3 linked regions of the Lytechinus pictus genome follow. Each later gene encodes a partner of the first gene's protein in a complex. Links are inferred from orthologs where the notes say so. Each region holds a gene or a part of one and is shown on either strand. Other genes may lie near its edges.

What was found.
Region 2: the proteins of integrator complex subunit 4-like (region 1) and integrator complex subunit 11-like are in contact, whole or in part, in a cryo-EM structure (PDB 7SN8), measured with the Drosophila melanogaster proteins. The link is inferred for Lytechinus pictus from reciprocal best matches to the Drosophila melanogaster genes IntS4 and IntS11. Residues at the interface, in NP_572488.1 of Drosophila melanogaster: Arg226, Ser227, Gly228, Gln233, Lys256, Phe259, Tyr260, Asp262, Ser263, Gln264, Lys299, Asp300, Asp301, Cys349, Leu351, Lys380, Lys381, Ile437, Glu441, Glu443, Phe444, Leu445, Glu446, Arg448, Asp471, Phe472, Asp475, Asn478, Glu480, Ile481; in NP_651721.1 of Drosophila melanogaster: Thr182, Pro183, Arg185, Gly188, Ala189, Trp191, Ile192, Asp193, Lys194, Arg196, Ile210, Arg211, Asp212, Ser213, Lys214, Arg215, Arg258, Asn287, Gln288, Lys289, Lys292, Thr293, Met299, Gln400, Asn404, Asn469, Ala470, Pro472, Pro473, Pro475.
Region 3: the proteins of integrator complex subunit 4-like (region 1) and integrator complex subunit 9-like are in contact, whole or in part, in a cryo-EM structure (PDB 7SN8), measured with the Drosophila melanogaster proteins. The link is inferred for Lytechinus pictus from reciprocal best matches to the Drosophila melanogaster genes IntS4 and IntS9. Residues at the interface, in NP_572488.1 of Drosophila melanogaster: Arg105, Leu108, Val112, Thr115, Asp116, Asp147, Thr148, Ser149, Lys153, Glu156, Gln193, Met196, Arg200, His231, Lys234, Gln264, Asp265, Ser266, Arg269, Tyr302; in NP_648838.3 of Drosophila melanogaster: Arg2, Arg23, Met88, Lys90, Met91, Asp93, Glu96, Asp98, Arg173, Lys176, Asp203, Leu205, Gly206, Gly500, Glu501, Ile502, Arg504, Val544, Lys545, Asp546.

The regions. Positions count from the first base shown.
Region 1 is NC_087260.1:14,204,801-14,215,712, reverse strand, and holds the start of integrator complex subunit 4-like, read left to right. Parts: upstream 1-6,157; 5' UTR 6,158-6,271; coding exon 6,272-6,325; intron 6,326-8,136; coding exon 8,137-8,290; intron 8,291-9,285; coding exon 9,286-9,441; intron 9,442-10,056; coding exon 10,057-10,163; intron 10,164-10,912. UniProt on the Drosophila melanogaster protein: Component of the integrator complex, a multiprotein complex that terminates RNA polymerase II (Pol II) transcription in the promoter-proximal region of genes.
Region 2 is NC_087250.1:18,423,079-18,434,139, forward strand, and holds the start of integrator complex subunit 11-like, read left to right. Parts: upstream 1-5,790; 5' UTR 5,791-5,910; coding exon 5,911-5,938; intron 5,939-7,021; coding exon 7,022-7,119; intron 7,120-7,634; coding exon 7,635-7,708; intron 7,709-8,710; coding exon 8,711-8,822; intron 8,823-9,835; coding exon 9,836-9,895; intron 9,896-11,061. Other genes in the region: serine/threonine-protein kinase greatwall-like, read right to left, coding at 3,181-3,246. UniProt on the Drosophila melanogaster protein: RNA endonuclease component of the integrator complex, a multiprotein complex that terminates RNA polymerase II (Pol II) transcription in the promoter-proximal region of genes.
Region 3 is NC_087245.1:1,539,451-1,550,099, forward strand, and holds the start of integrator complex subunit 9-like, read left to right. Parts: upstream 1-5,707; 5' UTR 5,708-6,187; coding exon 6,188-6,196; intron 6,197-10,649. Other genes in the region: tRNA-specific adenosine deaminase 2-like, read right to left, coding at 865-971, 2,125-2,275, 3,312-3,416, 3,617-3,673. UniProt on the Drosophila melanogaster protein: Component of the integrator complex, a multiprotein complex that terminates RNA polymerase II (Pol II) transcription in the promoter-proximal region of genes.

The sequences.
Region 1 (10,912 bases):
TTGCTCAGTAATACAAGGGGGGCACATGGGGGCAAGAACTCTTCTATTATCATTTTTTTAGGGGTAGTGAAAAAAGGGTAGAAAGGGGGGGAAATGGGGAGAAAAGAGGAAGCAAAGGAAAAAGGAATTAGTTTTAATAAAAGAGGTCTTGAATGAGTTAATCTACATGTATACCCCTGTACTATTGGGGGCTGGCGGAAGGGGGATTCGGTTTAGGTTATCTTTACCATACCCCTCCTCCTTATTACCGAAATACCAGTGCCGCCCATGACTACTAATATTACTACTACTACTTCTAATACAACTACTACTACTACTACCTCTGGCCTATGTTTGGTGAATATTGTAGAAACTGCAGAAAACAACACATACAGCGGATACATACGACTGTATTGAATGCATACCTCCAGGCCGTTCAGGTCATCTCTGAGTTTGAGGGCTACTCCAAAATCACAGAGCTTGACAGTCTCAAAGTCGCCCTTGACGAGGACATTGCCGCTCTTCAGATCACCATGTAGGTACTTGAGGTCATTGTGAAGATAACTGAGGGCTGATGCTAGGGACAGGGCTACTTTGTAGATCTGAACAGCTGGGAATGGACCTGAAAGTGACATTGGCAAGGGCAATGAATGCATTACTGACGACTGCGCGAATCAGTGCTAGATACCTGACTAAAATCAAAGGTGTGGCTTTCTGGCATGAACCCCAGAAGAATATTCTGATCATTAATCCTCACATTTTAGAATAGATAAAACAATTAGGTACTACTACACAGAGTATTTTAATCATCACATTTTCAGCAACATTTTTATTTCAATGTCTAGGGGCACCCCCCCCCCCCCCATCAGAGTCATGTCTCTCTTGTTGTAGGAATTCCACAATTCTTCATGATGATTAATCCTCACATTTCATCATAGAGAATTCAATTAGAACAACACTGCATTTTGTCATTTTAAAAAATATCTTTCAATAATATCTAAGGGGCAACTGTCCACCATCCCATGCAGACCATGCCCCTGGTTCAGTAGCATTAATCCCAGATCTGAATTTTCACTTCCTTTAAAAAAAAAACTGCAAAAGGGATCAATTCTTTATTGGTTAAAGACTTTTACAAAGCCAGGCATGTTTTTAAGTATGATCATGCACAAAATCATGAAAATGACCATAAAAATAGTGATTTTATCAATGTTCAGCCCTTTCCCTCCGCTCCCATTTCTTTCAAATTTGTTGTGTAGTTGCTGCTTCGAGTTACCTTTCCCCATGTCGTTGCGTTTTTCAATCATATCCATCAATGACTGTTGGCCATTCTCCATTGACAGACACAGTGATCCATCCGCAGACTTGCTTAGAGCTCGGAATTCCACAATGCAAGGGTGGTCCATTTTCTGTAACAACATGATATCGCACAATAATAATAATAATGTGACTTATAAAGCGCCAAATCCACTCTGTAGAGTGCTCAAGGCACATAAAGAGCTAAGAGTTAAATAAAAAAGTTTTTAGAAGATTTTTGAAAGTTTCGACAGAGGTACATTTTTTTATGTCTTCACGAAGGCTATTCAACAAAGTGGGGCATGCAAAAGCAAATGATCTTTCCCCCCAGGTTTTTGAAACTTTTGGAATAACAAGGAAGCCAGAAGTGGATGAGCGCAAAGACCTGCTTGGTCTGTAGTAATTGATAAATGTAAATGAAAGCGATGAATGTTAGAAAGAATTTGAAACGTTACAACATCATACAAATTGTATGAACAACTTCAATAAACAAGCTTTTTTGATCATTTAATAATACCACAGTAATGCCAGACCAAGAAATAAGTATTTAATGAATCCACTATCCAGACTAGGCTCCAGGGATTGCAAACTCATATTAAAGAACAATTGGCACCACAGCACGTTATGGTTCTCACAAGACTATACGGTATACCACTAATCAAAGTTGAATTTGGTTCAATACAAGGCTTTCAAAAGAAAAGACAATTGTTGTAGATCAGATGCATGCAAACTTGCCTTGAGGTACCTTACCAAAAGTACAGGTTGGCAAGGATTGGAAATACCAGTAAATACTGCCTCAACATTTTTTTTAGTAGATTGGGAAATAATTGGAAATACAGGGAAATGCTAATTTTAAGCATAGCCTAGCATAGCCTAGCATTTCCCTGTACCTCCCTGTACTCCCCATTTTCTATTTTTTTAAATGTTTTCCAGTATATCCCACCTGGGTGGGAAATACCCAAATTTCTCAGGAAACTGCCAACCCTATGCAGGAACCTTGCAAGCATCTTTTCATGGCTAACAATTTTGTACATTGCTCTCATTTGTAATATACAAAACGATGGGAAAATGCAGAAAAGCTATCTGGGAGTCGCCTAGCACCTTAACAGGAGGATTCCTGCAAACCGATACAGATCTGACTTTTGCTAAAAGTAGGCCTACATTATGGGACAACTCAGTGCAATGCACTTCATGCTTTTCACAATTTGTTTATGAACAAAAGGTAGACAAGTGACATACTACCGTAGTAACTGCAGTCTGTCCATGTATCTACAGCCTACCTTTAGAATGACTGCCTCCTTTTTAAGCCTGCCTTCTACATCTACCAGTCCTCTATCTTTTTTATACTTGCTGCGTACTTTCTTCACTGCCCAGGGTGAACGTCCACTCCCATCAGGCTTTGGGCTCCTGAAACAGAAAGAAAAATTTTGGAAAAAAAACCTGAACTACTTTTAGCATTAGAATACTTGCACCATATGTTGTTAAATGTAAAGTACGGAAGTACAGTGAGTGATTATATTCTGAACTGCTTACTTTTTGGAAGTCTCCATAATTCCTTTTAATAGCAAAGGCAAAACCAGCATATCAGTTAATATCACTATGAACAATTTGCACCAGACAGGTTGGAAGCGATTATGTGGGAATTATAATGCATATTATTACTAGGCCTACACATAACACAGCAAATTCACCTGTTTGCTATCATTTTCTTAGTACTTAAAATTGAAAGTGCTACAGTTAGTAACTTAATCTCATTTTGTATGTTTTGAGACATACAGATCAATGTGAAATAGATCAAACTTTTTTTTTTGCCGAGGAGGAAAAAGCAACACCTTGTTTACATTTTAGATCTACCTCAAACTTATTGGGCAAATATTTTTAAACACGCTTTCATGGATTGAAAAACAGAGGAAGTTCCTGAGCTGATGTATCGTTGAAATTCAGGAAAAAAATGCCTACCGGTACATGTAGGTCGGACTCACGCCAACTTTGTTGTTTTTGAAAAATGTGAAATAGTCCCATAAGTGCTATGTCTGAGCCACGTCCTTGCTAAGTCCATGTTGCGTTGGTGGTGTTCCCACTCATTTACTGAATAATTGTACGCGCAGACGCAGTCCACTCCATGTGGCATCGAAACGTTTCCCCCTATGGCAAGATCTATAATGTCCTCGCAGATTGCAACATGGCATGCCATTGCCATGCCCATGTGCATCTAATACTAGGACCTAGACCTAGGTCGTTGCAGTGATAATGACACTGACAAAAATTCAAAATGACTGTAATTTATTATTTTAATTGAATGATTTGTTTGTTGTTAACTTAACTTAAGTTTAGTTTACTTTAATTTAGTTTAATTTAGTTTACTCAGACGATGTAGGACTCAGACTAAGCCTGTTCATCGATCAAAACAATAGTAGAATTTTTGGCAATATTGCTGCTCTGACGACTTCAGGCAAAATTAGATGCACTAGGCCTACTTGTGTTGGCAGGGACGTGGCAGTAAGTTAGGAGACAGGGGTATCGTAGACAGCAAAAAATTCCCTGAAAAACACACGGAAATAAAAAATCACTCAAATCATCATAGGCAATGTTCTCCCAATGCTTATCAAGCACTGAACAAGCAGAAACTAACGTTAGGTCATCTTCTGGGAAGTTTATCATGTTTCCCCTTGACAGCCGTCTGTTTTGAGGAGTTTTTCAACATTTATAATTTTTTTAAATATTTCTCCTAGTACACAGACGGCTCGCGATTGTGCAGCCGCCATTAGGGGGTTAACAATGCAAAATCCGCCCCCCCCTCCCCCCGATGGGGCTCATCGATTTTGTCTTTATTTCATAAAATATAAAAAAGAACTGAACCAAAATAAAGATTATTAGATCTATACTATTCCGTTTTGGCCTGAACAGGAAAACATAAACTTAAAAGGAAAAAAAAAACAGCGACTTACTTCGGCTGACGTGCAACTCCCACTTCCCTGGTTTTATATCCAAACTGAATACATAAACATATGGCCATTGAGTCCCTGTACAGATCGAGTTAGAACTTTGGTCTCTGTAATTGGTGAGTGGAGTGGAGCCAACGGAGTTCAGCGGAACAACCAATAATACATATTACAGAGACCACGACTGAAGCTTTTGGTCTAGTTTATCCTGGCCTAGACAGCTGGCAGCCGTCTGTTTCGAAGAGTTTTTTTAAACTTTTTTTTTTTCTCCTCGTACGCAATTGGTGGTGGGTGAAGCCAACGGAGATCAGCGAAACAACCAATTATCGAGACCGAAGCTTTTGGTCTAAGTTTATCCCTAACGTTAGATCTATCTACGGCAAGGCACAGGATAAAGCTTCAGTCTCTGTATTTTGGTTGTTCCGCTGAACTGCGTTGGCTCCACTTACCAATAACGGCAATAAGTACCGGGGGTATATCAAAATGTCAGAAATTGTTAAATAAATCCCCAGAAACGACGGTTATTCTGGCACAGGAAGATTAGATTCGCCTTAATCATTAGACTTGACCCTCCGCAGTTTTTTTCAATTAATCAAAAACCAAATAGACCAGTAGAGGCGCTGGTCAGAAAACTGGGATTGTCCCAGTTAACAGGGATTGTCCCAGTTAACAGGGACTATCTCATTCACCTGTCAAGTGCTGACAAATGTACTGTGCTAGAGCCTAGAGTAATGTAAACATACTAATTATCAGGTTTCATAACAAGATTATTGGAACTCGGAAGACTGTCTCCAGTAGAGGCGCACGGCCAATATGGGAGACTCTCTCCAATAGGGGAGACAATCTCCCACATTGGAGACTTGCTTTGCAAAAGGACAAAAGAAACAACACCAACAAAAGCATGATTTTTTCCACCCAAAATTTTGTCTCACTGAGGTCAGAAGCCCATTTGTTTTTTGTGTGATTGACAACAAAAATCCTTATCAAAACAAAAGTAGACCATGAATTTTTAAAGTAGATGGTGAAAAGGGGTAATTTTTCATGAGGAATCAGCTTATTACTTTTTTATTTGCCGCCAAGGTAATCTTTTTGCAGCAAATGTAAACAAAGGAAATTGGTCTCCAAAACTGGAGACTGTCTCTGAAATTGGATACCCAAATTCTTTACAAAAGTCTCTGATATTGGAGATAATCTCCCACATTGGAGACAGTCTCCAATATTGGCCGTGCGCCTCTACTGGTCTCTGTAAGTAACTTATGAGTTATGTAACTTGTAAGTCATGAAAATAGATGGTGAACTGGGGGGAATTGAGGTCACTGAATCTATTTTTAGCACTCTCAATTCCCGTAATTGATGTCTTTGTCCCGTAGGGGGAAGTGAAAAAAAAACGTCCCCATAAAGCCAGGCCATAAAAATTAAAATAAATTTAGGACAGTCTAAATTTATCAAGACATGACTCTTGGACTTGGTTTATGAGAATGTCCTTGTTTTCTGGGACAATCCCAATTTTTGGACCAGCGCCTCTACTTTAGACTAAGTTAGGCCTAAAAATAAACCAACCTTTCCAGCAAATAAACTGACACACCAGTCCCCCAGCCCAGCTTCTTCATAAACGGCGAGGCGGGGATCTGTATCGTGTTAGCGGGAGAGTTCCGGGCGGGAGTGGCCACAGAGAGTCGACTTCTCTTCGCTGGATGAACGGGGGTGAGAAAATCTGAGTTTCCTTTCTTCAGAGAATCGGTGGCGTTGCATGTTTGATCCTTTGTGGACGCCATTGTCCTTCCCTCTCAATTCTGCAGATAACCTTAATTACTTCTTTCAATTCAAATGTGTTTTGAATGAAGAAAAAGCTTTGCCAAAAAGAGAGTCCAACACTTTCAAAAAGGGTCTTTCAAAATTACCGCAAATTCAACTGCACTTGCGCGCGCGCTAGCGCTAGCGCCGTGAGCGACTGAGGGCGTTAATTCAATTTCAGAAAACTGAATGGACAGCAAAGTGAAAGGAGGTCCTTGAAAATATTGACTTTTCCTACATTTATGTGACTTTCTCACCACAGAATGGCAGCTCATCTGAAGAAACGTGCATATGAGGAGTTTAGCCAAATAATTCAGGTATGAAAATTTACCCGCCTTTATCTATAAATATCGAAAAAAGTTTGTGACAACATGGATCTGAATGAACTTGTTTTGTTCGGTCCCACATATTGAGATTATTGTGGGATCTAACTCGACTTGAATTGTATTGCATTGAACTGAATAACTTTATTGTCCATAAAGCCTTTTTAAAGGATTTTTCTCACCGGCTTACACACATGGAGATACAATGTACAAATGAAACTGAAATTGAAAATAATCTAAAGGGGAAGTTCATGTTGACACAATTTTACGTTAATAATAGAAAAATAATTAATAATAATATTCTGGGGAGGAAAATCGGCCTTGTCATGAAATTTGTCACCTCTCTTCTTGTGTGTGTGCGCTCGTTGTGTACATAGTCAATGGGAGTGGAAAGAAGAAGTCACCGCCGTTGACGAAATAAACGGTAGTGAATGGACTGGTGACATAAACCACGATAATCATGATAATGCTGGAAAATCCATCATTCATCAAACATGTCAAAAGATTATCATTAAAAGTAGACAAATTTAATTTTCTGATTTGTGTTGTGCATTGTGTTGTATGCGAGCAGCTTTCCACTAGCCCTTCTTGAATTGAAATTATCAATGAAACATAATTTTCTATTATTAAAGAAAATGATGGCTTTTAACTTAAATAATTAAGTTCAAGTATATCTATATCAACAGACAAATTAATTCACATCGCACCAGCCCCTAAGATAATTTTGAGTCATGAACCTCTACAATCTTGAAATATATGCATAAAAATTTGAAGGGGTCTACATGCATGATAGGGCAGCTGCCTAACCTTGAGGACTCTGTGATGATATTTTAAAATATTTTTACATAGTCATATATCTATATTTTACATTAGCCAGGAGTGAGGAGGCTCCTAGAGAGCACTCATTCAATGAACAAGGTTATGATATAACCTTGTTCTCAGTTATATCTCCATGTGTGGCAAAATAAGGGTGGCAATGTTTGGCTTATTTTCTCTAGTTTAAGGGACAAATGCTTGATTTTTTTACACCGACAGTTTCCATTACACCTATTCGTCATACAACTTGGCCCTTAAGTAAATTTGATTCTTTGAATTATTTTTTTCTTAATTAAAAATAGAGATAAAAAATGAAAATTTTCTTGCCATATTACTTTCCACCAATAGAGGGCGTACACAAAAATATGCCAAAAATTCACGTTTTTGAGCGCTCTAGTGAATACAAAAATTATTCCCAAGTTACTAATGAAAAATAAATTGCAACTGTATGAAAATTAGTAATTTTGGTCACAAAAGTGACATTTTAATGATTTTTGAAAGTGTGTGCTCTGTACAGCATTGGCATGCCATAGTCCTACCTGTAGATTCCCCACAGGCAGGGTGGTTGCAGTGAACAAGTGCTAGAGAGTACAAATAATTCACTAACATGTGCTTACTCTCCACAGAGCCAGGGATTGCGTCCCATTCATGTGCATGTAGTCGTGTACTGCAAAAAAACCTGAAATTTTCGCCCCCAAGATTTCTACTTTTCTTCTAAAAGATCTAGCCCTAAATCATGTAAAAAAAGGGATACATCTTCATTTCCGACATTGATATGACATTGATTTCATTTTTGATCTAGAATTCATTAAAAAAACAGAAAAAATATTATAAAAAGACGGGGAAAACATGCCGCGATGTTTATGTCATTATCTTGTTTCTTTTTGTTCTTTGCCAAGGTACGTGACGCATATCCTCCTGTCTTGGTCGGTTTGAATTCCTTTTTAGATTTGATAAGAACTTACATTTTTCTTCTCATTGTTAAACAGGATGAGCCGAAGGCACCTCCGATTAAGGTGAGACTTGTAGCCCGACCTCAGGTGACCCAGGTCACCCTTGATCTGAGGGCTGGTAATTCCAGAGAGGCCCTTACTCAGCTGCTTGATCTAGAGAACCAGCTACCAGTCGGTCAAGATGCGGCAGGTACGTTAGACGATGGGCGCTGGTGTTGGTGATTTTGAATTGATTTGAGTTGGTTTTTCTTTTCTAATTTGATGTTCATTTTATTTCAATTATTTTGTTTACAGCATTTGGATTTTTGTTTGATTCTGAGTTTGATTTGATTTGATGTAGACTTTCACTGACGGTGACTTTGACTTTGATTTCGATTATGATTTTCAAATTTGAATTTGAATTTGAAATTGAAATTGAACTTAGATTTGAATGTGACTTTGAAGTCAAATCTGAATTTGAATTTGGATTTGATATTGATATTAATTTTGATTTGATCTGATGTATTCAGTTTCCTACATGAATGAAAACATGTATAATTTACATTTTGCAAAGTGTAATAAAAAGAGATACATTCACATGTACATGTACCGGTATGCAGAATTGATAGGAGTAAGTGGAAGCATCTACTATCAAAGAGCTTAGCTTGTGTGATGGAGATAATGACAGTGATAATCACAGGTATAAATTCATAATGATACATGTGCAGAAGAATAAATCAACTTCTTTAAGCATTTTGATATGCCCATGTTCATGCAAGTGTGCTTTCAAATGTAAATTTAATAAAAGTTTTGAGGTATTTTGTGAAGGTATTGAGTATCTACTCGAGCCCGTTTCATAAAACTTGTTACAATAACAAATTTGCAATAACAGTTAAAAGCTAGCGAAATCCTTCCAGTTGATTGGTTGATGGTTAAATTTGTTATAGAAATGTTTGTATTTGTTATTATAACAAGTCTATTTGAAACGGAACCCAGGTCTGGCAAAGTCTGGTCCACAATTTTGGGCCAGCTTCCATAATGAGTGGTTGTATATGTGGTAATGGCAAGTGATGTTCATAGCGTTAATAATGATAATCATAAAAAAATGCATTTCAATAGCACATATTTCATGGCCATGTTCAAAAGTGATTTTTAAGATGAAAATGACAAAATTGTCAAATACCTCAATTTATTTCTTCCACCCAGAGAGTATTATCAACACTCTTTTTGAGCACTACAGCAAAGAGGAAGGAGCTCATGTAAGGTCAAAGGTCATTGAATTATTGGGTCGAATTGCCAGACTCCCGGGTGTGAACGCTGTGGGCATCGCCAATGACCTGATGACGCTCTTAGCCACTGAAGGTGAGATGAAAGCTTTGTTGAAGGAGGGGTATTTAAATTTCCTGGAAGGTCTGGGTCTTCAATCCCATTGCAGCATTTGCATCCTTTTGCATAATATTAGTCTAAATTTGCCACTCTCCACCCAGGTGTTGTAAATGGGTACCCTATTGGAATAATTTCCTTGGAATTCTCAAGTGCCTGATGAGAATACTGTAGCTATGCTTAATGCTAAGCTACTTTTATGGTATGCAGTGCTTAGAAAAATTTGGATTTAAAAAGTACCATGAATTTTGTGTGTTATGTAAAGTATCATCACATTTTAGTCTGACCAATGCTCATTGTGTTGTCAACCAACCATAAGATTTGGGCTGAAAGCCAAAGGTAATTGATTTTTCATGTTCCACATCTGATATTCAAGTGTACAGTACCGAGAATTCAATTTCTGTTTAAAAAAAAAAACGACAACTTGAAGAAAGAGTTTATGCACTCATATTGCATGGTCAGCAAATGTGTGCATGGATGATGAATTTTACAAGTGCTTATTTCAGACTAGACAAGGCCCAAGGATATGGTATTTGATTGTTGTTTCAAGAATTACATGTCCATGTCGATTCCATCCTTGGTTTTGTCATACAGGTTCTCACAAGGTCAAAGGTCAAATATTTACCACACTCACTGTGATTGGACGGAGCCTTCCTCTGACCTCCGATCTCCATCGTCAGCTTCTGCAACTTGCTCAAAAAGTAAGTACATGTACATTGTATACCAACTGCAAAACATGTTATGCTCCTATGTGGTGCTGTAGGAGTTCAGTTGAAAATGATAACAAGATTTCCATCTTATCTGGCAACTTGCCAGGTAAGGAAAATAGGATAAGATGAAGAGGACAAGAACCCACTTGTCGAAACTTCGAGTTTGGGTTGTCCTTTTCATCAGGACCAACACTTGCCCAAGAAAGGTGCATGGTGTACCATGAAACCTACTACACTGTTCTTCTTCGCCATGGAAACCTTCAGAAGTTACATGAAGGAAGATATTTTATTCGTCTTAAGTTTTGTGAATATGACGTAATTCAAGCATGAAAAATTTCAATATTAACAAAGAGCAACATGATAACATTGTGGAAAGCATTGAAAGAGAGATGATTGATACACATCTGACAAAACTCAAATACACACACACACACACCATACGGAGGGATGCCACTTTTTAGACTAAATTCGTTATTTAGATTTTTTCTACATAATTTCAGCCATAGAAATCACCTTTTTCATGTACTTGTAGGAAAGGGAGTCATTCTAGATGATTTTCAGATTTTGTTTTGTCCAGCCTTAATAGCATCCCTCCTTTCAGAGCAGGGTTGTAAGGTGAGAGTCCCATTTATACCATAAGATGTTACTTCAAAAAATAACTTAAGGTTGTGAGAATGGCAGATGACGGAAGAGTTAGATTTTGTGAGATTGGATGAATACCCCGAAGAAGAATTGTCGAA
Region 2 (11,061 bases), on another chromosome or scaffold:
TCGTTTTTTTTTTCTATTTAGATTTGTCGTTTTGAAGATCTCTACGATCCTAAATTTGCAAGAAAGTTCACGAAATTTGCACAAAAACAGTTTTCTTTATTTTCTACATGTAGCATATCTTTGGGTGACCCCACTTCTTAAATCTGAGGTACGCCACTGCGTGCGCTGGAAATACGGCATATATTCTGCATTTTTAAGGGCAAAATTTGACTTTTTAAAGGGAATTACTTCATGTGGTGAGTGATAATGGCTGGGTATACAAGTTACAACAATGAATTAGGTGCGTGTATATGCTGGCTTGTGAAATAACTTTACCACATGTGTCAAATGGCACAACATGTCGAATTCCGGGCGTGTTACTATAGATCTAGATCTATAATAGGCACTTCAGGTGAAAATCAGGAAAGGCTGTTCCAGCATTTCTTATATGCTCACAATGAGGCTCAATATCTACGATTCACAAAACTGTTTGAATATTCAAATTCCGATATCTAGAAGTAGAGTTATTGTCATCTTTGTGATACAAAAACAAGGCTTTTTGTGGACAAAAGACGATTGCAAAATCTTATTATTCTCTATGTTTTGGGCATGGCACACTTATAATACATACGGTAGCTTATGGGGAATTGTACAAGCTTTTTATTTAAGGACGTTCCACAGTTATATTTGTGCGCATTATGATCTGCGCATAGTTTACACTCTGCGCGCTGACGTCACAATGGATGAACAGGTATTAATTAGCTGCGGGTATGAGCTGATTTTTCTCATCTTCTGCACTTTAACTGCAGATCCGATGCGTTATTTCATTAAGCTAAAAAATTGAATTATTCCATGGACCATTCAAAAAAAAAATCTCTACAATTTCAAAATACTTTACTCTGCAGTGCTGCCAAGAATCACGAATATTAGCCCGAGTTTGAATAAATGGTAGAGTGGTTTTGATTTTTTCTTCACATAGATACTAAGCATTCAGCCCATTTTTGGTGTTTTAAAAAGCACATTTGCTCTAATAAAAATGCTGATAGTTTAAAAACAAGCACATGAACCCCTATTTTTTAATGTTTGTACCTCTTAGGTATACCATCCTCTACAACTCTGCAAATTTTGGTGAAAATGGATTTTGAATAAAGTGCAGCATTTATTGTACATTTGTAATTTGTTACTGAAATTTTACATTTTTCAGATTGGGATTTTGTTATCTTTCACGCCATTTTTAAGAACTGACAGTGCTGTTAAACTTAAAATTGCAAACAAATAGCACTATTAATAGATTTTCCATTCTAACGATACAATTATTAACTCTCTTGCGAAATTTGATGACTTTTTCATGTATTTTGAATGAGTAATGGAGGTTTAAACTCATTGTAGTAATCTTGGGCGGTCTAAAAATGCCAAATTCTTTTGAATGCGCAATTCTTAAGAACATCAATTTGGGTGAACTTTGAAGCTCTATAGCAAAAAATCAAGCACATGGACCTATGTTAATTTTTGCATATTTCGAATATTAAGGTTCTAAAGTATCTATGTGCAAAGTTTGGTGAAAATGACATGGATTTCACTTTAACTGTGGAACGTCCTTAAATCTTTAAGTACTCAGATTGATTTGGCATATAATTGACATATGATTTCTTTGGTTCAAGGGCAACTACCCCTGAACAATTACCCCCCCCCCCCCCCCCGTCCTCTCTTAATACTTATTTTGCACAAATTCTACAAAATTATTTTCAAAATAACAATTTAAATTTCATAATTAACAGAGCTCAAATTGTAATTAAAAAAACTATACAACGGCTGAAACATACTGTGTCTGAATACCGAGACTAATCTCGAGCCCATCGCAGCGGGGATGGCATCACTCACAGCTGTTCGTATACGCTCAAAACAACCCTTCTCGATCAGCGAGTCAGATTCACAAACGCCTAACAACACTCAAAATTGAAGTTCATTTCCGCTGGCTCTTTACGAACCAAATTCAATTCAACTTTCACAAAATGTTCTCAAATATTCAATTTCATTAACTTAGGGCCTACCGAGTTTCAATAAGATCCGATGATTACGGGGTGATTTCAACTTCAAGCAAAGAAAAATTTATACCTTAATATTAGGTCCTTCCATCCCATTATGGTAAGTGAAACTCAGTGTTGTTTATTATCGATATTTGCCAAAGGTGTACAAAGCAACCACGGGAATTTTTGACCAATCAAAATCAGCAGAGTAAACAGTAGAGGCGCACGGCCAATATTTGAGACTGTCTCCAATGTGGGAGATTATCTCCAATATCAGAGACTTTTGTAAAGAATTTGGGTATCCAATTTCAGAGACAGTCTCCAGTTTTGGAGTCCAATTTCCTTTGTTTACATTTGCTGCAAAAGGATTAACTTGGCGGCAAATAAAAATGTGATAAGCAGATTCCTCATGAAAAATTACCCCTTTTCACCGTCTACTTTAAAAATTCACCGTCTACTTTTGTTTTGATAAGGATTTTTGTTGTCAATCACACACAAAACAAATGGGCTTCTGACCTCAGCGAGACAAAATTTTGGGTGGAAAAAATCATGCTTTTGTTGGTGTTGTTTCTTTTGTCCTTTTGCAAAGCAAGTCTCCAATGTGGGAGATTGTCTCCCCTATTGGAGAGAGTCTCCCATATTGGCCGTGCGCCTCTACTGGTAAAGGAAGAAACTGACTGTTTTATTGAGCAATTCCAAATGCAACTCCAGCACTCAGCCGAAGTGCCGAGCGGAGCGAACCGTGTGTGTTAGTCATGTGCTCCCCATTCACTGCAATGCGAAAATGTACGTTCAGCGCTCTGTCCGCACGATCGCTCGCATTTGAAGTTTTAGTGACTTTTAGTTTTACGACTGTCTTCGAATTATTATTTTTTTTGCGTTCTTTGACTTGGAGTCGGACTCGGAAACTGTTACCAAACGTGATTTAAGATCATTAACAAATTTGTCTTGAGACTTGAGTCTGAGCATTATCTGATTATAGAACTGTTAATGATATTTTTAAAAATAGGAATAAAATAGGTCTTGCAGGTAATTTCATTAAAAAAAAAAAACTGGCCACCCAGCCAGCCACACGTTTCACAACGCATGGGACCGAACTTGTTTCTCATGCATCCATACATAATTATAAACAACCTTTTAAAAGCATTTCATAGCATGAAAGTGGCATACATACCTGGGAATCTGTCTTGGTCAACTCAGAATTTATATTTGACGATGATGGTGACAACATATTGGTCATTTTTCTCTCTATTGTTGCGGGTTTTCAAGTTTACCGCTGCTTTAGTGGCCGTGTTTTTTTTTATTTGTTCTGTCTTCCTCGATCGAGAGAGGGCGTGTACCAAGGCCCTATAGGGCCGGCCTTGTAATCAACGAAGTATTGTATTTCTGTGATTCTATAAATCCCTATCTCAGAAAATAAAAAAATTGTATGATGTGCATACTGTACAACATGTACAGGCACGGATCCGGGGGGGGGGGGGCTGAAGGCACACGAGCCCCCCCCCCCCGTAGGATTTGAAAAAGAGAGAGGCAAATTGACCTTACATATCCAAAACCTTTTCTTTTTTTTTTTCTTTTTTTTTGCTTGTTAGTTATACTTGGGCGGACGAATAATATTGACCTTAAATTTAGGGGACAACATTTTTTATTAGGTATTTTGCTTGTCAAATTTTCAACGGGTAAAATATGGCACCCCTTTTTGAAAAAATCCTGGACCCTGTAGCACACCAAAAATTTCAACTCTGGATCCGCATCTAGTGTACCTGTAAAATGAGACAATATTTTTGCTTTCTTCAATAATATAATCAATACATTTTGGATTTTGTACCATTGTTTAAAAAAAAGAGAAGTCGCTTTGTCGTATTTCATGTATTATTTAGCCTATTTCATTCCGTGGAACTTGCCCTTGATGCCTACTTTTCATTTCTTTCTTTATTACCTTTCTCAATCTTTATTTACCTTTCCATAGGCTAAACTTAGTTGCACTGAGATTGGGGAGCCATAAAAATATATGAAGATATTTTTTGTATTTACTTGTTGGATTTTTCTGAACGAAAATACCCCCTTTTGGAAAAAATTGATCCGTTCCTGCCTCTTTTTCCCCAATTATAACAAATAGCTAGACTCGACGCTGGGTCAGATCTTTTTTTTGGGGGGGACAGGTTTTTATTGAGAAAAAAATATAGGATAGCCCAGCATTTCAGTACCAGACGATTATGGTTATCCCTCAAACTATTGTGATTAATCATAGATTTTAGTTCCGTGAATGATATGACGGGGGGGGGGGGTTACCTTGTTATAGCTATTTGTCGATCTTCCTTTGTTATTTTTATTATCAATTTTGTATTGTTATATCGATACACCTATTTGACAAGCGGCGTGCCAATTAATTTCATAATGAAACATTGTTAAAAAAAATCATTATTTTTAGGACGTCGGATTAACACTATTTTTTTAAAGGTATTATTATCTGAATAATTGCACCGCCGCTGAAATGTTTTGATTCCTTGATTTTTCAATCTTTTCTTAACAATAACAACAATAATAGCGGTATATTATTTACCCAGGGTAGCCACTTCAGTTCCGAAAACTGGGCCCAGCGGGCCCTGCTATTATTACCCCGGCTTTAGCTGAGCTGTCTATATAGCGCTCAAGCATTCAAGGAATTAGTCCTGCCGGGTATACCCATTCACCTCACCTGGGTCGAGTGCAGCATTCTTTAAAAACACAAAAGGCAAACTTGAGGATGGAGGAATGGATGACCGGATGAGGAGTGACAGCACTTTCCACCAAATGCTGTCCCCTTTCGACCCTTTTAGAGCGTGTTGCTCCCTCACCCTTTCATACGGTGATGGGCAATAATTTCTATCTCGCCGATAAAGCCTATATATATAGCACAAATGGGAAAATTTAAAAGGTGACAAAAATATTTAAGGCCTATGAGACGAGCATTGAGGCCAATTAGAGCATCCGAGATCATAGCCTAATTGGTGGCCTTATTATGGATTAATCTAAGCACTGCTTAAACATTGCCATAAGGGATATCGAATGCTGATTCAGGTAGGCCTATTATTAGTGAGGTAGGCCTATACGATTGACACATTTTAGAAATGTAAAAATTAATTAAGATTAAGATTAATCTTGAAGTAAATTACCCCCCCCCCCCAAAAAAAAAAAAAAAAAAAAAATTGGGAAAATCTGATAACAGGCGATATATACTTCAGGAAACGCTAATGAGCTTTTTTAATCATCAGATTTTTAAAGGGAAAGCGGTTTGAGAATAGCGGCTAAGTTTGAACTTTTTTTGGGGGGGAGGGGCCTGGCCCTTGGAAGCGGGGGTGCCCGGGGGGGGGGGGGGGTGACTAAAATGGTGTGCCGAAGCAGCTATCAGCCATTCCCCTGGAAATCAGATTGGTGTACTAAAATGTAGAAACTTGACCCCCCCCCCAAAAAAAAAAACCACACATTTTGATCTTAGAGTGATAATCTTTATTTTTGCTTGTCATTTTTCCCCCGTAAAAAACCGTTCCCTAACATGAGGAGGGGTGCATGGAGGGGGGGGGGGTAGGCCGGGTTGTTAGGCCCAGACCTTTTTTATTTCTCTATTCGATTACGAGTAGTGCATAATAAAGCAGAGTCTGAAGTAGTGAGACTAGATTTACAATGTACTGTTGTTGCCTCTTTTTATAGAGAAAGAGAGTTTTGGAGAAGAAGGGAGTGCATAATTATGAGACTCGATCAGACATGAAATCGTATTTGATTCGAGTCTGTTCAAGCAGCTCGTAGACGTAGACTACGCACTGATCATTGGCATGAACTAGTTGAACTGATGAAGCGCTAACTTTATTTTCGAAGGATTTAGACTACCCATTTCTCCACGGATTGATGCTATTTTCACCTCAAGATGACAGATATAAGGATAGTTCCCTTAGGTTTGTATATTATGAGCCTATGTGTTTATATTTGATTGATAGTAATGTTTTTTACCGTGTTACTTTGCCGATTATTTCGTTGACAGTCCCATGTATTGTCATCCATGTTTGTTATAAATTATAATAGATCAACATTGTCATTCACAATGACAGACTGCACGCGTGTATGAGCTGAGCTTGACAAGTTGATCATACGACACTGTCAATGATTTGCAGGATTTTAGTGATTCTTTGGTGGTGGTAGCTACTAATGAATCAGCGTCACTAATGCCATTAATTATTTAGTTTTTTCGCAATTTGATAAATGAATTCAATTAGGAATAGGAATTTATACTTATAGGATATTTTTTTCTACTGTTCTATTAGTATAGTTCTCTCAGGCCCCTCAATGGCCTCAAGGCTTCAAGCCAAGGCAGGCCAGGCATCTTTTTTCAGGGAATTATTTTTGCAAATTTGTTTTATCAGCATTGTTTTTTTTTTTTTTTTTTAGGGGGGGAATTTGGTTATAAACTAATCTTAAAGTGACAATTAAAACTGACGATCCTCTGTGCAAATCTGCTTAAAAGATGGAACAAATTACAAATACAATCCAAAAAGTGTTCCGTTGATTGAGGCCAAGTCAATCTTGACGTTCATATGCCATATTAATCAATATAATGATTGTGGGCATTAACGGAAAGACAAGGCAAGGCGGCCAGCTCAATGTCATTTAAGCTTTCCAAGTCAAGTCTGCTGGAGCTGTTCCCACTTGCAATCTTGTCCAGGGGCCTGTAACACAAAGCTTAGCCTTAGCTGTATTAGCAATGGTCGTAGAACATTTTTAACAATTGATTGCATTGACTACAATGGCCAGTCAGTCGTAAAAATCAAGCGTATGATTGATCACTGACTTTTGTGTGACGGGACCCAGATGATGTTTTGTGTTGCTATAAAAATCATTTAAACAATAAGATATGGAAGCAAGACTCCAAAGAGTTTAGAATATATCCTTTTAACATGTTGACTACAAATACATGATTCCCAGTTTGAGTTGGCAATGCTAGTAGAATAAGTGATTGTATGATTTGACATTCATTTTGAAAGGGGCTGGTCAGGATGTTGGACGGAGCTGTATTCTTCTGACGATAGGAAGTAAGAATATCATGCTGGATTGTGGGATGCATATGGGCTTCAACGATGAAGTGAGTATACCTCCTTTCCCCATCCTCCTCTTTTTCTTCTTCTTCCTCTTCTTCCTCTTCCCTCCTCCCTCTCCCTCCTCTTCTTCCACCTCTTTTTATCAGTCATGTCATTCCTTCTCCTGTTTTCCTGTATCTTTTCTTATTTGTCCTCATTTTCTTTTCTTGTTCTCGTGTTGGCTTCTTTCCTTGATTTTGATATTTCCATTTCTGTTATTCTTTTATATTTGTTCTTATTACTCCACATGGGTATGTTTGATTATAAAAAAGGGACTTTTTGGTCATTGTTGTCTTTTAGTATAAATTTCCACTTTCCCTCTTTCTCTCTTGAAAAAAAAAATTCTTAACCATCTTTTTCCTTCTTGTTCTTCCTCCTCTTCAAAACATTTCCATTTTCATATATTTCCGCATATTCTTTCCAAACTTACTCTGTTGTAAATCTCAATACTCTGTTCTTCTGATGACCTGCCACAATATCTAATTTTGAATGTGTGTTTTTACCCTTTTTTTCCCAACAGAGAAGATTTCCAGACTTCTCCTACATCAACAAAAATGGTGGATTGACAGACCATCTTGATGCAGTTATCATTAGGTATTTGAATAGTTCTTGGAATATTTCAAATGATCTTTTTTGGTTTATTCAATTATTAGTTGATTTATTAATTTATTTGTTTTATTTCTGCATACCTGTTTATTTGTTTCTCATGAGTAACATATTTAAGTGTTTATTCACTTCTCTAAGGATTAGTACATGTTTTGGGGGAGTGTATCTAAGAACTAGACAGCATGGGCAAAAATGGGTGGCCACTTTAATTATTACACTGTCGCATGGAAGCGTTGTGGTGTGACCTTTCTGACTCTCACCTTGTAATCATTGTCATGTGTTCGAATCCCACCATGGCCTAATGTCCTTTGGCAAGATGTTAATTCAGACTTTCCCACACTCCACCCAGGTTTATGTGAAAGCCTATGCAATATGCCTTGCAGTTGAGTCTTGGAACTCTTGTCTTGTTGGAATGCTCTCAGGGAGTTGAAAAGTGCTTACCGGTACATTGTTTGCAGGCATGCCAGGGTCCGATGACCACGTTGAAAATAATTCCAATGTAAAGTGCTTAGAAACGCAAAGTTTTATGCACTATATAAACGTGAAGTTGGTTCAGTTGGTAATGTCGAACCAAAGGTCGTGGTGGATTCAAGTCTACCCTGTGCGGATGACTGCGTTGTGTGTAAACATCGCTCCCCTGTTCCATAGATGCAGGCTATGTTACAGTGGAAAACACTCCATCCCTCGGATAGCATGTTAAATGGAGGCCCCGTGTAAAGGAGAGTCGCCACTTTTGCACGTTAAGACCCCACTGCACGTTTTGTATAGAGTAAGGGGAAACCTGTAGTGGTCCACCTGCACTCCCCCCAACCAGTTATATCGAGAGGAGAGACCTGCGGGTCACTTTGATTCAGTTTGCTTTTCACCTCCCGGGCACAAGAGATGCCAAACAAATACAAGCAGCCATGCATATATCTCTTAGTATCACATTTCTTCATAATAAATATTGTTCTCCAAATAAATTGCTTTTCATGTTTTTTCCATCCCCAGCCATTTTCATCTTGATCACTGCGGAGCCCTCCCTCACATGTCTGAGATTGTCGGCTACGATGGACCCATATACATGACACAGCCCACCAAGGCTATCTGCCCCATACTCCTCGTAAGTGTGCATGCCTATTGCGGCAATGCATTATTCATTACACTTTTCAATCTTCAAATTGGCAATATTTATGTTAAGTGTTATTTTTTCTTCCATTCATTTTTATTCAAATGCAATATTTTTTGTATTAGAATAAAAAAAAAAGAGTAAAGTTTGATTAAAAATGTCTCAAGGAGTTACACATTTTCAAATTTGCAACAGAAAAACAAATTTTACAAAGCATTGAATCTAAGAAAATGGGGTAATAATATCCAAGTCCTTAGGAAGCGCATAGAGACATTATTCATAATGTGATATGCGCTATACAAGAACTGTATATTATGATACAATAATAAAGGGCACAGTAATTATAGACTCTTGAAAACACATTTTTTTAATCTTGCATGATGATGTTGTTGACAGAATGTTATATCAAAGATAAATGCCAGTTCTGGTAATGATTTCAAAATGAGTACGTACAGAATCCAATAAAATGAGCACCCAAGTGTCTGTTTGGATAAATTGTAAGCTATGAACCAAAGGACACTGGAAGAAACTGTGTCATTGCTGAGAAATAAGCAAAATAAGCATGGGGTACGCGCAAACTGTCAAGTATTTTTTCCAAGCAATAATAATACACTGTCCCACATGGCTTTATCTGTGTTGGTTATTTACTGTGTGATCTTTTTTCAGCCTAGATTTTATGATTTCTCAAAGTTTCATTAGTGTAACTGTACCAGATCAAGATCCACAATAGTTACAATTATTCTTGGTTTTACAAATTTTCTCATGATGTCAGCATTTACAGCGACTACTTGCATTTATATTTTAACCTAAAGGCAGTCAGTACCTGTGTGTCGATATGTCATGTTTTAACTTTTAAAATTTTATTTATTCTTTTAAATAGGAGGACTACAGGAAGATAATCGTAGAGAAAAAAGGAGAAACCAATTTCTTCACATAAAGGCAGTCAGTACCTGTGTGTCGATATGTCATGTTTTAACTTTTAAAATTTTATTTATTCTTTTAAATAGGAGGACTACAGGAAGATAACTGTTGAGAAAAAAGGAGAAACCAATTTCTTCACCTCACAAGTAAGTATAAAGTTGCCATAAAAATGCCTGCTCAATTTATAAATCAAAATATTCCACCAGTATTTCCTTCTAACACAGATACTACTTGACCTTTTCTACGCGTACATTTCACCAATGCACACTCGGTGCCACACGAATTTCGCATTTCACGTTAAAAAAACCAATCCGTTGTTTCCCTCCCTGAAAATAATTCAACACAGAGAGGTTCATGGCCCAGCACACAAAGATTTAATTAGACTTTATGTCTTGTAAAACCACATAACTAATAACAGTAATAATAATATGTTCCATTTGTATAGCCCAGCTACTATAATTGCATATACTCTACTGCAGTTGATACTTGGTTTCATATTATACCCCAGCTGTAGCTGAGCCGCCGTATAGGCGCTAAAGCATTCAAGGAATAAATCCTACCGGGTACCCATTCACCTCACCTGGGTCGAGTGTGCAGCACAGTGTGGGTAAATTTCTTGCTGAATAAGGGAAACACGCCATGGCTGGGATTGGAAGCCACGTCCTTCTGATTGAAAGACGAGATACACTGTAATACAGTGCGTCCCCCAAAAAACATCCCTCTGAGATATGGTAGTATTCTCTATTGAATGTACAGGACCAGAAAGCTCAATTCATGTTCTAACTTCTATGAAAATTTCATTGGTCTCGCTTCAGTGGTTTTGAATACACATGTAACAGTGGTGCGTTTCAGCCCATTCCAAGTTTGCTGCACTGATGTATTTGCGTCGTCTCTAGCATGTTTGCCCTTATTTCAGCCATTTATCAGAGGGACATTTTTTGGGGAGACATTGCTGTATACATTTAAACAATCAAGAATATATTTTCTACTGGAAATATAAGTAAATTTATAGTAAGTAAATTGTTAATATTTATATTGCTCATGAATAATAATATCAAAAGTATGAATATGGTATTATTTTTGTATATAGGTATTTTTATTGTGATGTCGAATGAAACCCATATGATGGGTATACACATGATGCACCGGTGTGTTGGCTCATTTGGTAGGGCGTCCGTCTCACAACTGGGAGGTTGGGAGTTCAAACCCCGGCCGCGTCAGACCAAAAGGCATTAAAACATGGAAGTTACTGCTACCCTGTTTGGCGTTCAACAATTAAGGATAGAGGCTCGTCGATCTGGCGCTGTACAGC
Region 3 (10,649 bases), on another chromosome or scaffold:
TTTGTGATTTACTTGTAAGAGTTAAAACTGGTGGTGGTGAAATTTTGTGAAGACAAATTTATCTTTCTTTATTGGTAAGTAGCGACAAAATAGCATAACTTAAAAAAAAACATACAAGAAAGGAAGAAAAAAAAAAATAAATTATTTGGCAAATCAATTAACTAATGTTTATAGATATTAGTCTCATAAAAATAATGGGTTTTGATGAAACAAGTTCCTCTTGTTTTCTTAACTTTTTTTTGTTTTTTTACTTTTCAATACTCTCATCCTGTATACACCTTTCCCTTCAGTCAATCAACAAACCCTGAAGATCAATTTAAGTAACTCCTAAAAACATTACCTTTTTTTATTTCCATGAACATGTATTTGTATTTTATTAGGTACTTGCATTCTTATAGCTTTGAAAAGCTGTGAGAGTGAACTACGTAGAGTGTACTGAATACTAGTTGTAATAAATATAATTTGTAACACAGTAAGCATTCCTGTCCTCTACAGAGATATGAATGATATGTACACATAACTCCAGTAGAACAACCATATCTCAGACATTTTTAAATGTAAATTCTAGCTTGACAATGATCTAAAAATGAGTATGAACAGAATCCAATAAAATGACCATGAAAGTGTTTGCATGTACAATAATAAATATGAGGTGCCAAATAATTATGAAAATGCATAAATGCTGAGAAAATGATAAAATAAGCACAGCATACCTGCTAGGTGACAGATTTTTTTTTACCAAACAATATGTTAGAACATGTGCTTTTAATATATATCCATCTTAATGATTTTCATTTTCACCAAAATTTATTTAAGACCCATCTAGTTATGGAATATGTATGCTTTTAAATGAGCTTTACTTACCTCAAAAGTTTCTCCTGTAGATGGTAGCTGATCTGAATGTACAGAGAAGATGGAACCACAACCGCCAAACCTTTCATTAGCACAACCATACACAACCTTTCTAATACCTGTATAAAAGATTAAAAACAAATTTTTTTTCTATCAAGTGACTGCTGTATTATTCTATTCAAATACAATGTAAGACAATAAGTAATAATGAAAGAGCCTTGAGCGTAAAGATATAGTTTAATACTCTGGCATACCTGCCAATATTTAGAATGTTGATCTTATTGAATGAGGGAAATTATCATAAACAAGCAGTGTTGTGGGTCTCGAGGCCGGAAAATCGTTTTTGTGGGTGTGTGTCTATGGACTGTATGAGTGTACTGTATATGTATATGCAATGTATAGGCTACCGGTATATATATGAGTATCAATGTATGTTTTTTATGGAGGTGTGGAAATCACAATACATAACCAAAGTAAAAAGCATCACTGGGCTAAGAAATGACAGGTATTTAGGGTCCCTATGAAATCTGTGGCCGTTGCCACAAAATAATATAACAATATTTGGCCATGGCTGGCCTTTTCCTGGCTCTCCGGCCTTGGCCTGCCTTGTATGGGAATATTCGGCCTTGACCCTTCTGGCCTTGGCCTTGTCCTCAGGTGGGTCAGCCTTAGCCTTGTCCTCGGGCAATCTGGCCTTGGCCTCGGACAAGCCGGCCTCGTACTCTAGCAAGTTAATGTAAAGTGAGTGTTAATTGTTGAATGTGTGTGCTTGTGGGTGTTTAGGATTTCACAGACAATAGGCATGCTCTAAGAAATTGGAGGATCTTGGGTTCAAATCCCTGCCATAGCGTTAATTTCCTTAGCAAAAAAGTCATCTACATCATGCTGCTTTCATGCTAGGTGAAGTAAATGTGTAGCCGCAGGAAAGAATTCCTCAGAAAAAGCTGTGAAGACCAAAATCAGTAGCCTAGAATAGCAGGGTTAACAGTGCTTTAAGCATGTGCACAATATAAATACCCTAAATTTAAAAAATGAAAAACACCTTGGCAGAACAAGCTTCACATTCTGATGGCAAATGCAGAAAGTGGCAAGATCCAAGAGTACAACTACCATATCAATGTCTACTACCGAATCCCCATTATTAGACAACAGTTTCATACAAAAGGCTAGCTGATCAAATTCAACAACGAGATTATAAGAACAAATACTGCAGTCAAGATTTGTCAACCCAACCCAAGAGTATGAAGCCTTTTCTATGAGAATGAAACTCACCCATGATACGCAGAGCCCCAGCACACATGATACAGGGTTCTACTGTCACAAATAGTTTGGTATGTGAGAAGACCTCTTCTCTCTTCATCTGTTTGTCTTCACACCATCTCATTGCTTCTTCTAAAGCTAAGATTTCGGCATGTCTTGTGGCCTACAGTGCAGTAGAATGAACGTTATTGAAATGAGAGGTGTAAGTAACATACAATCTACAAAAGCAAAAATTTAACTAAAATGACCATTAAGACAGATTTACTTGTTCTGTTTTTCAAAAATTCTGCAATAACTTGAAAATTCATAATCAATACGCCTGTATACAGAGCATTTTTTCAAATTTGGGGGAAACCCTGTAAAGCTGTTGTACTTTCTTTTTCAAAACATGGATAAACTGACCTATGATAAGTATTTTCCTTTTTCAATACAAAGTTATAATCTACAAGAGCAATTCAATCCAAAATTCATTGATTATCGGTATATGAATCAATATTAAAGCAATCTAATATTACATGTATGTTGAGTAAAATGAATTGAATAAAGATGTACAGAAAGGTTTGATACAAATCTCAATAAAGTACAAGGCATTGATTTTATTTTATCTTTTTAAATTGCTCAAAATTAGACACATCTTGTTCCACAGTAGAGTATTTGAAAGGTTTGTGAATCTCATGATCTTGGTTTGTAAGTGCTGCATACTATTACCCCGGCTTTAGCATGGCTACCCTGCGGATCGGACGCTCAAGCATTCACAGAATTCCTTCCTGCTGGGTACCTATTTACTACTCCTGGGTGGAGATTGGCAAATGTAGATAAATGCCTTGCCAAAGGACGCGAGTGCTGCGGTGGGATTCGAACCCCAGACTTTGTGGTTCAAAGTCGGGAGACTTATCCAAACTGAGTCACATTATCTCTGAGACCTGATATGAGACCTGGAGTGTATCAATCATGGGAATTCTTATCTGAGTTTCAGCAGGGACGCCCTGGTTTCAGCTACAATGATGGACTTTTCATGTCAATATATGGATAGGATGTGGTAGTACTGCTTACTAATAAATTAAGATTCAAACTTTGCACCCTGAGGTGCAGACTGCAAGAGGTGCAAAATGACATCAATAATATAGTGCTCTGATCCCTTAGTACAAAGTTTTATCTTTTCTGCAGCTTCAAAGTGTGTAATAAGCAGTATAACTTACATTTTTGGTTTGGTTGACAGCATTTCCTCCTGTCCCTATGATCTGATCATTATACACAAGGAGACAACCTACTGGGACCTCTCCTCTACTTAGGGCCTGCTTACCCTGCACAAAAGAAAACATATCTTAATTTCTCATAGGGAACTGACCATTGTTCACTACAAAACATTTTGCTACATCTATTACAAGCAATCTAAAGAGTAGACATGGTAGTTAGGGTTTCTGAGTGTTATTAACATCACTAACAGAACTTTTTAAAAATATGTAACCATTCATTTTCAGTCCCATAGTAATTGGATACAAACCATGCACACTGCTTGCTTCATCCATTTTTCATCATAAGCTTCGTCATACAGTTCCATGGTCTGTAATAAAAAAAGATGATAATTTAAATTGTTTCTTTTCATCTACAAGTTAAATATCAATATTATTTTACTAATATTATTGAACTTTGAAGCTCAGTAGAGGCATACGGCCAATGTTGGAGACTCTCTCCCATTCTGGAGATTATATCCTGTACATCAGTATTCAATTTAAAGGGATGGTCCGGGCTGAAAATATTTATATATCTAAATAAAAAGAGTAAAATTCACAGAGCAAAATGCTGAAAATAAGATTAAAATTGGAAAACAAATAATGAAGTTATTGAATTTTAAAGTTTATCCATATTTTGTGAAAACAGTTATACGCACATCGTCATGAATATTCATTTGGTGGGCTGATTATGTCACATCCCCACTTTCCTTTTTCTTATGTTATTACATGAAATCATAAATGTTTCATTTTTTCATACATGTGTAAATGATATTTCTGCATTATGAAATAAGTTGCGGCAATAAATAACTAATGCACTTAATCAGTTGTCAATTCAATTGTTTTAGTTTTTGGTAGAAAAAATTTGAATAAACCAAATTTCATATATAATAAAATACAAACGAACAAGTGGGGATATGACATCATCAGCCCACCTAATGAATATTCATAAAGACATGCCTATAACTGTTTCACCGGAATAATGCAAATCTTTAAAATTCAATAGTTTTGTTATTTGTTATCCGATTTTGATAAAATTGTCAGCATTTTGCTCTGTGAATATTACTCTACTTTATCGAGATATATTTCCAGCCAGGACCATCCCTTTAAGAGCCAGTCTCCACTATGCAAGATTTTTTCTGTTTAACATTTGCGTCAGAGGGATTACCATGGTGGCAAAATTACTCCTCTTAACCATATATGCTCAAGAATTCTCCATCTACTTTTGTTTTCATTTATATTTTGTTATCATGTGGTTTTGACCTAGCTGCAAATTTTGGAGGGGAATTAACTTTCTAGTTCAGTGTTGTTGCCTATCTCTTTTGCAAAGCATGTCTCCAATATCAGAGATTGTCTCCAAAATTGGAGAAAGACTCAAATATCAGCCATGCGCCTCTACTGCTCATATTTCTTCAAAAGGTTAACCAGACACAGTTCGAATCATTTGCAAGAGGAAATCTTAAAATAAATGTTAAGGACTTTGAGTTTGATGTCTCTTTCTGTATCCAGTGTAGATCTAGGCCTAATGTTAGACATGCTAGATGCCTGGCTAGTGTCTAGACTTAGACCAAAAGCTTCGGTCTCTGTTAATGTTATGTTGGTTGTTCCGCTGAACTCGTTGGCTCCACTCACCAAATACAGAGACCGAAGTTCTAGCTCAATCTGTACAGGGACTCGATGGCCATATGTTTATGTATTAAGTTCGGATAAAACTGGGAAATGAAGTTGCGCGACAGCCAAAGTAAGTCACTGTGTTTCCCCCTTTGAAGTTTTTTCCCCATTTTGGTGCATTTCAGGCCAAAACAGAATAATATAATAATCTTTATTTTGGTACAGTTCTTTTTATATATTTTTATGAAATAAAGACAAAAATCGATGAGCCCCGTCGGGGGGATTTTGCATTGTTAACCCCTAGGGCCTATGCGTGGCTGCACGATAGCGAGCCTAGCCTGGACTCTGGTCCTGGAGGCTAGTTTTCTGGGGAGTAAAAGTCATCTACTATACGGAAGTCGTAGGCTTACTCCAGCCTACGTATAGTAGATGACTTTTACTCCCCAGAAGCCTCCACTCCAGTCCAGGCTAAGCGAGCCGTCTGTGTACGAGGAGACATTAAAAAAAAAATGTTAAAAAACTCCTCGAAACAGATGCCTGCCAGCTCAGCAGCTGTCTAGTCTAGACTATACTAGACACTAGTGGCAAGGCATGGATGCTGATCGAGAGATTGAGCTGAGCCTGACTGAGATTTCACAATTAGTGAAACCTCGGCTCAATCTCTCGATCATCCTTGCCTTGCCACTTACCTTAATCCAAAATTAAAAGTTTACCCTCCTCGCACCTATCAAGTATCATGCCTATCTGTCACTCTTGAGTCTTGGCGTCTTGCTGCTGACGTAACGACCCACTGCCTCAGATCAGGCTCAGATACCGGTAAATCTGATTAAAAATACTCGTTAAGAGAATCTCCAACTGGTACATGTAATGTACCGTAGTCAATAACCAACCCGCGGACAACCGCTGATAAGTACATGACATGAGGTGCATATGGCGTCTGGTTGACCGGCCGCGGCAACAGTACCTGGTACAGGCGCAGGCGCGGTTTAAGTACGGTACCGGTACCTGTACCTAGCGTTACCCGGGCCGGGGGCGCGGGCGAGGGATCCCCCGCAACCACACTCGTCTCGCGATCGATCGCGCCCGTCCTTAATTTCTTCCGTATTTTATTATCGCGAGGATACCGTACCATACCATCTGAACGGTATACCCATCTGAACTGAGCTGAGGCGAGCAAAAGAAAACACTGCAAGAATATCCTGCATTTTATATAAGAAGCCGGAATAGCCAGAATGAAATTGGTAAGAAAACCTATCCGACCTCCTGCCGTTATGTTATTGTTGAAGTGTGTGTTTGTGTGTCTATTAGTTACAGCCAATTAATGATCAGTCAGCTATCAATCATTCACACAAACAACAACATGAATGCTAGCATGTGGGGCTATGTTAATCCAGCAGATTCAAAGGTTCAGTGGATGATCCTGATAATTCATCATCATCATCATCATGTTACGAGGTGAGGTAATCCTGTTGACCTCGATCTCTTCATCTGAAAATTGCAGTCCATCTCCATACGATGTGTTATTACGTCATAAGTCATAAGAACAAAAACTTGCACACGTGTAGGGTAGAGACGGTTTTGATCATTTGGACTTGGAGATTGAAACGCTCAGACCACCAAAACTTATCGAGTCTTAATTTGAATACATCGATGGAGCCTGAGTCAAATAACTTCTTGGGGGAGGCTATTCCAGTCATTCACTACCCGGTTACTAGTAAAAACGCATTTGCGTATGTCGAGTCTTGATCGTTCTTTAAATATCTTTAACGTATGACCTCGAAGATGTGAATTATAGGGACAGTGATTTTCCGTTTCAAAAAATTGCCTTTTCCGTTTCAGAAAATCTCAAATTCCGTTTCAGCATGTCAGAAAACGTAAATTCTGTTTCCCCATAGACTTTGTACACACGGAAAAGTGACAATTCCGTTTACACATTGAATAGCAAAATCACAACACGTACACTCGCACTGGTCAAAATTTGTATCTGCTACTAGCCTGTACCAACAACACAATAGAATCTGTTCTAATCGGATCTATGCGGGTGCATAAAATATTTTTACAAACCCATTTAGCATGCATACATCCTCACCTTTCACATCATTAGCATTATTTCACGATGAAATGATATTTCATCGATAATTTTGGGGTTTTTTGGACATCGTTATCATCAGTAAACGGCTTTTGCCAATCCGCCATCTTGGATTTTAAGACCACGATATCGTGCTGTTACATCTTCTAAGGTAGAGGGCAGCAACACACAACCGTGTAGTTGAACGATATGTGTGCATGTGAAGCCCAACCCGGCCGGCCGGGCGCCGGGTACGGCTACGGTGCGGGGTACAATCGAGTGTGGTGATGTCGAGTGCAGTCACGACGTGTGAATTGTCATGATAGTAGCGAAGTGAGATCGTGTTTTCTGGGGTTTTGTGGCCATTTAATATTCTCATTTTGTTGTGATTTCGGAGTAATTTCTGTTGCTATTCTGTGTATTTTTAGGGAAAATACGTTTTCCGTGATTTTCCGTTTGAAATGCCACTTTCCGTTTCAAAAGGCCCTTTCCGTGAATTCCGTCCGTTTTCCGCGATCGCGGAAAATCACTGTCCCTAGAATTAGTTGATGGCAAGAAAAAGTGACTTGAGTCCATCTTGACCATTCCTTTCAGTATTTTAAATACCATAATGGCATCGCCTCTCCTTCTTCTATAATACAGGGAGTGTAAGTCCAATACTTTTAATCTATCTGAGTAGGGGAGTTCTTTTATCTCCTGCACCATCTTAGTTGCTCTTCTCTGGACTTTCTCAATTTTATCCGCATCTTCTTTCCATTGAGTGTTCCACAAGATGTTGCCATACTCTAGGTGTGGTCTTACCAATGTCTTAAACAAAATTGGTAGGGTCCTTGTGTCCAGTTGAGTGAAAGTCCGTCTGATGATACCAAGGAGCTGATAGGCTTTGCTTACTTCCATTGATATATGCTCATGAAATTTGAGTTCCGAGTCAATCAATACTCCCAGGTCCTTTTCTCTGGTAGATGAGGCAACTTCATCTCCATTCATGTGATATTTATCTTTCTTGTTATTTCTCCCAAAGTGAAGAACTGTACACTTATTCTGGTTGAAAGGAAGTTGCCATTTTTCAGCCCACATGGTAAGTTTGGACAGGTCTGCCTGTAAGGCCTTGGATTCTTCATCATTCCCTACTGCTCTGTACATCTTAGTATCATCCGCAAAGAGTAAGATCCTGGAGTTTATGTCACTAGGCAAATCATTAATAAAAATGACAAATAGGATTGGCCCGAGGATACTCCCTTGCGGTATACCACTCTTAACATCTGTCCAAGATGATGTCACTCCATTTATAGCCACTCTTTGCTTTCTGCCTTTCAGGAAGGCACTAATCCAGGCAAGAAGAGGGTTCTCAATTCCATAAGCTTTCAGCTTCAATAAAAGTCTTTCATGAGGTACTGCATCAAAAGCCTTCTTAAAGTCTAGATATAAAACATCAATAGGTTGGCTATCGTCTAATATCCTAGTCCATTCTTCAATGACTTTGTTGAGTTGTGTAGGTAAATTGTTCACTGCTTGTATTAACTCTAGGCTTTCCAATTATTTGGAATGTGCAGGAATTTTAGGCAATGAGCAGGCAGGGTTTAGAGAAAGTCATAGTACCCTTGATCACATATTTACATTACATGGTTTGATCGATTTGTATCTACACGATGCGAAGAGAATTTACTGTGCCTTTATTGACTACAGAAAAGCCTTTGACCTTGTTGACAGATCTAGTCTCTGGTCGAAGTTGATTTCATGTGGTATCAATGGGAAGATTATTAGTGTTGTTTATAATATGTATGAAAATGCTAAATCATGCATAAAGTATGGATATAACATTTCTGATTTCTTTACCTGTAATATCGGAGTGCGTCAGGGTGAAAATTTATCTCCTTTGCTCTTTGCAGTTTTTCTTAATGATTTTGAATATTTTGTTAGTCGGTATTATAAAGGCTTAAATATGTGCTCTTCTCTAATAAGGGACTACCTGAGCAATGATGATGTGGAAGTTTTCTTACGACTATATGTTTTATTATATGCTGACGATACAATAATATTGGCTGAGTCGGCTCAAGAACTTCAGTCTGCTCTGTCGGCTGTTCATCAATATTGTGAGCAGTGGAAACTTTCTGTTAATACAAGCAAGACTAAAGTTGTGATTTTCTCACGTGGAAAGGTTCGTAAATATCCAGAGTTTTTGTTTGGGGATACTGCTCTTGACGTCGTAGAGGATTATATTTATTTAGGTACCACTTTTAATTACAATGGCTCCTTCAAGAAAGCTATGAAAAAGCAAGTTAATCAGGCTAGGAGAGCAATGTTTAATCTTAAAAGTAAGGCCAATGTGTTGAGTTTGCCTTTGGACATTCAATGTGAATTGTTTGATCAGCTGGTGGTACCAATTTTGTTATATGGTAGTGAAATTTGGGGGTTTGGTGATGTAGATTGTATTGAAATGTTTCATAAGAAGTTTATAAAAAGCCTCCTTGGACTTAGTCGAGGGTCTGCGAATTGTATGGCATATGGCGAATTGGGAAGAGTCAGTCTGCTTTATATTATTGAAAAGCGTATGATAAATTTTTGGGCAAGGATTCGTCAAAGTGTAAATGGAAAATCTAAATTGTCAAGTATGATTTATAGGCTTTTGCGTCAACTTCATGATAGGGACCTTTATAAGTCACCATGGATAGTAAAAGTGAAAAACATTTTGGATAGATGTGGGATGTCTAACCTGTGGAGTGTTGAGAATATAGTCTTGGACGTTAAGTGGGTTAAGTCAACTGTGAGTCTCAGATTGGATGATATTGCTAAACAGGAATTGAATACTGAAATTAATAGAAACCGTTTGTGCATGAATTATAGGATATTCAAACAAGATTTTGGGTTTGAGAACTATTTAGTGAAATTAGATTTTGCAGATAGGATTGAACTCTGTAAATATCGTTGTGGAAATCATAGATTGCCAATTGCTAATGGTCGTTACCTGCCTAATCAAGGTTTGCAAACTTGTACTCTATGTGACTCGCATGAGCCAGGAGACGAGATTCATTATGTGTTTAATTGTCCTGCTTTTGAAAGTGAAAGGAAAGCTTTAATTAGAGGGTATTATTTTGTCAGACCAAACGTGATTAAAATGCACAAGTTGTTTAATATGCGAAATACAAAAGACTTGAAAAATCTGTCAAGATTTTGTAAATTCATTATGTCAAAATTTTAATATCTTAAGTGTAGTTGCTGTCTTGGTTACTTTCTTGTATTAGGGCATGATTTCAGATTTTGTTGGATTGCACCTGCACATGCTAAGTGGGGTACCGGTCTCCAGATACTCTCTGGCATGTCGGGAGTGGGTGGGTTAATTTGTGCCCGTTTCTATTTCTATTACTGCTCTTGTATTGTACATATGTTTATTATCATCATGTTTGATTCTTGTTACCTTGGTATTTTTTTCTTATGCCTATTATTGCCATTGTTGTAAGTTGTTATATTTCTTCTATGCCCCCAGGAGGGGCCGTCAAAGAAATAAAATCATTGTCATTGTCAGCCGGGCAAGGCAGGCGGCAAGGACGAGTCCAAGACGCCTAGCTTTGCTGTTGTTAGCGTTCGTGCAACCGCGCCGGCCGACTTCGTCTTCGATCTTCGAGCAA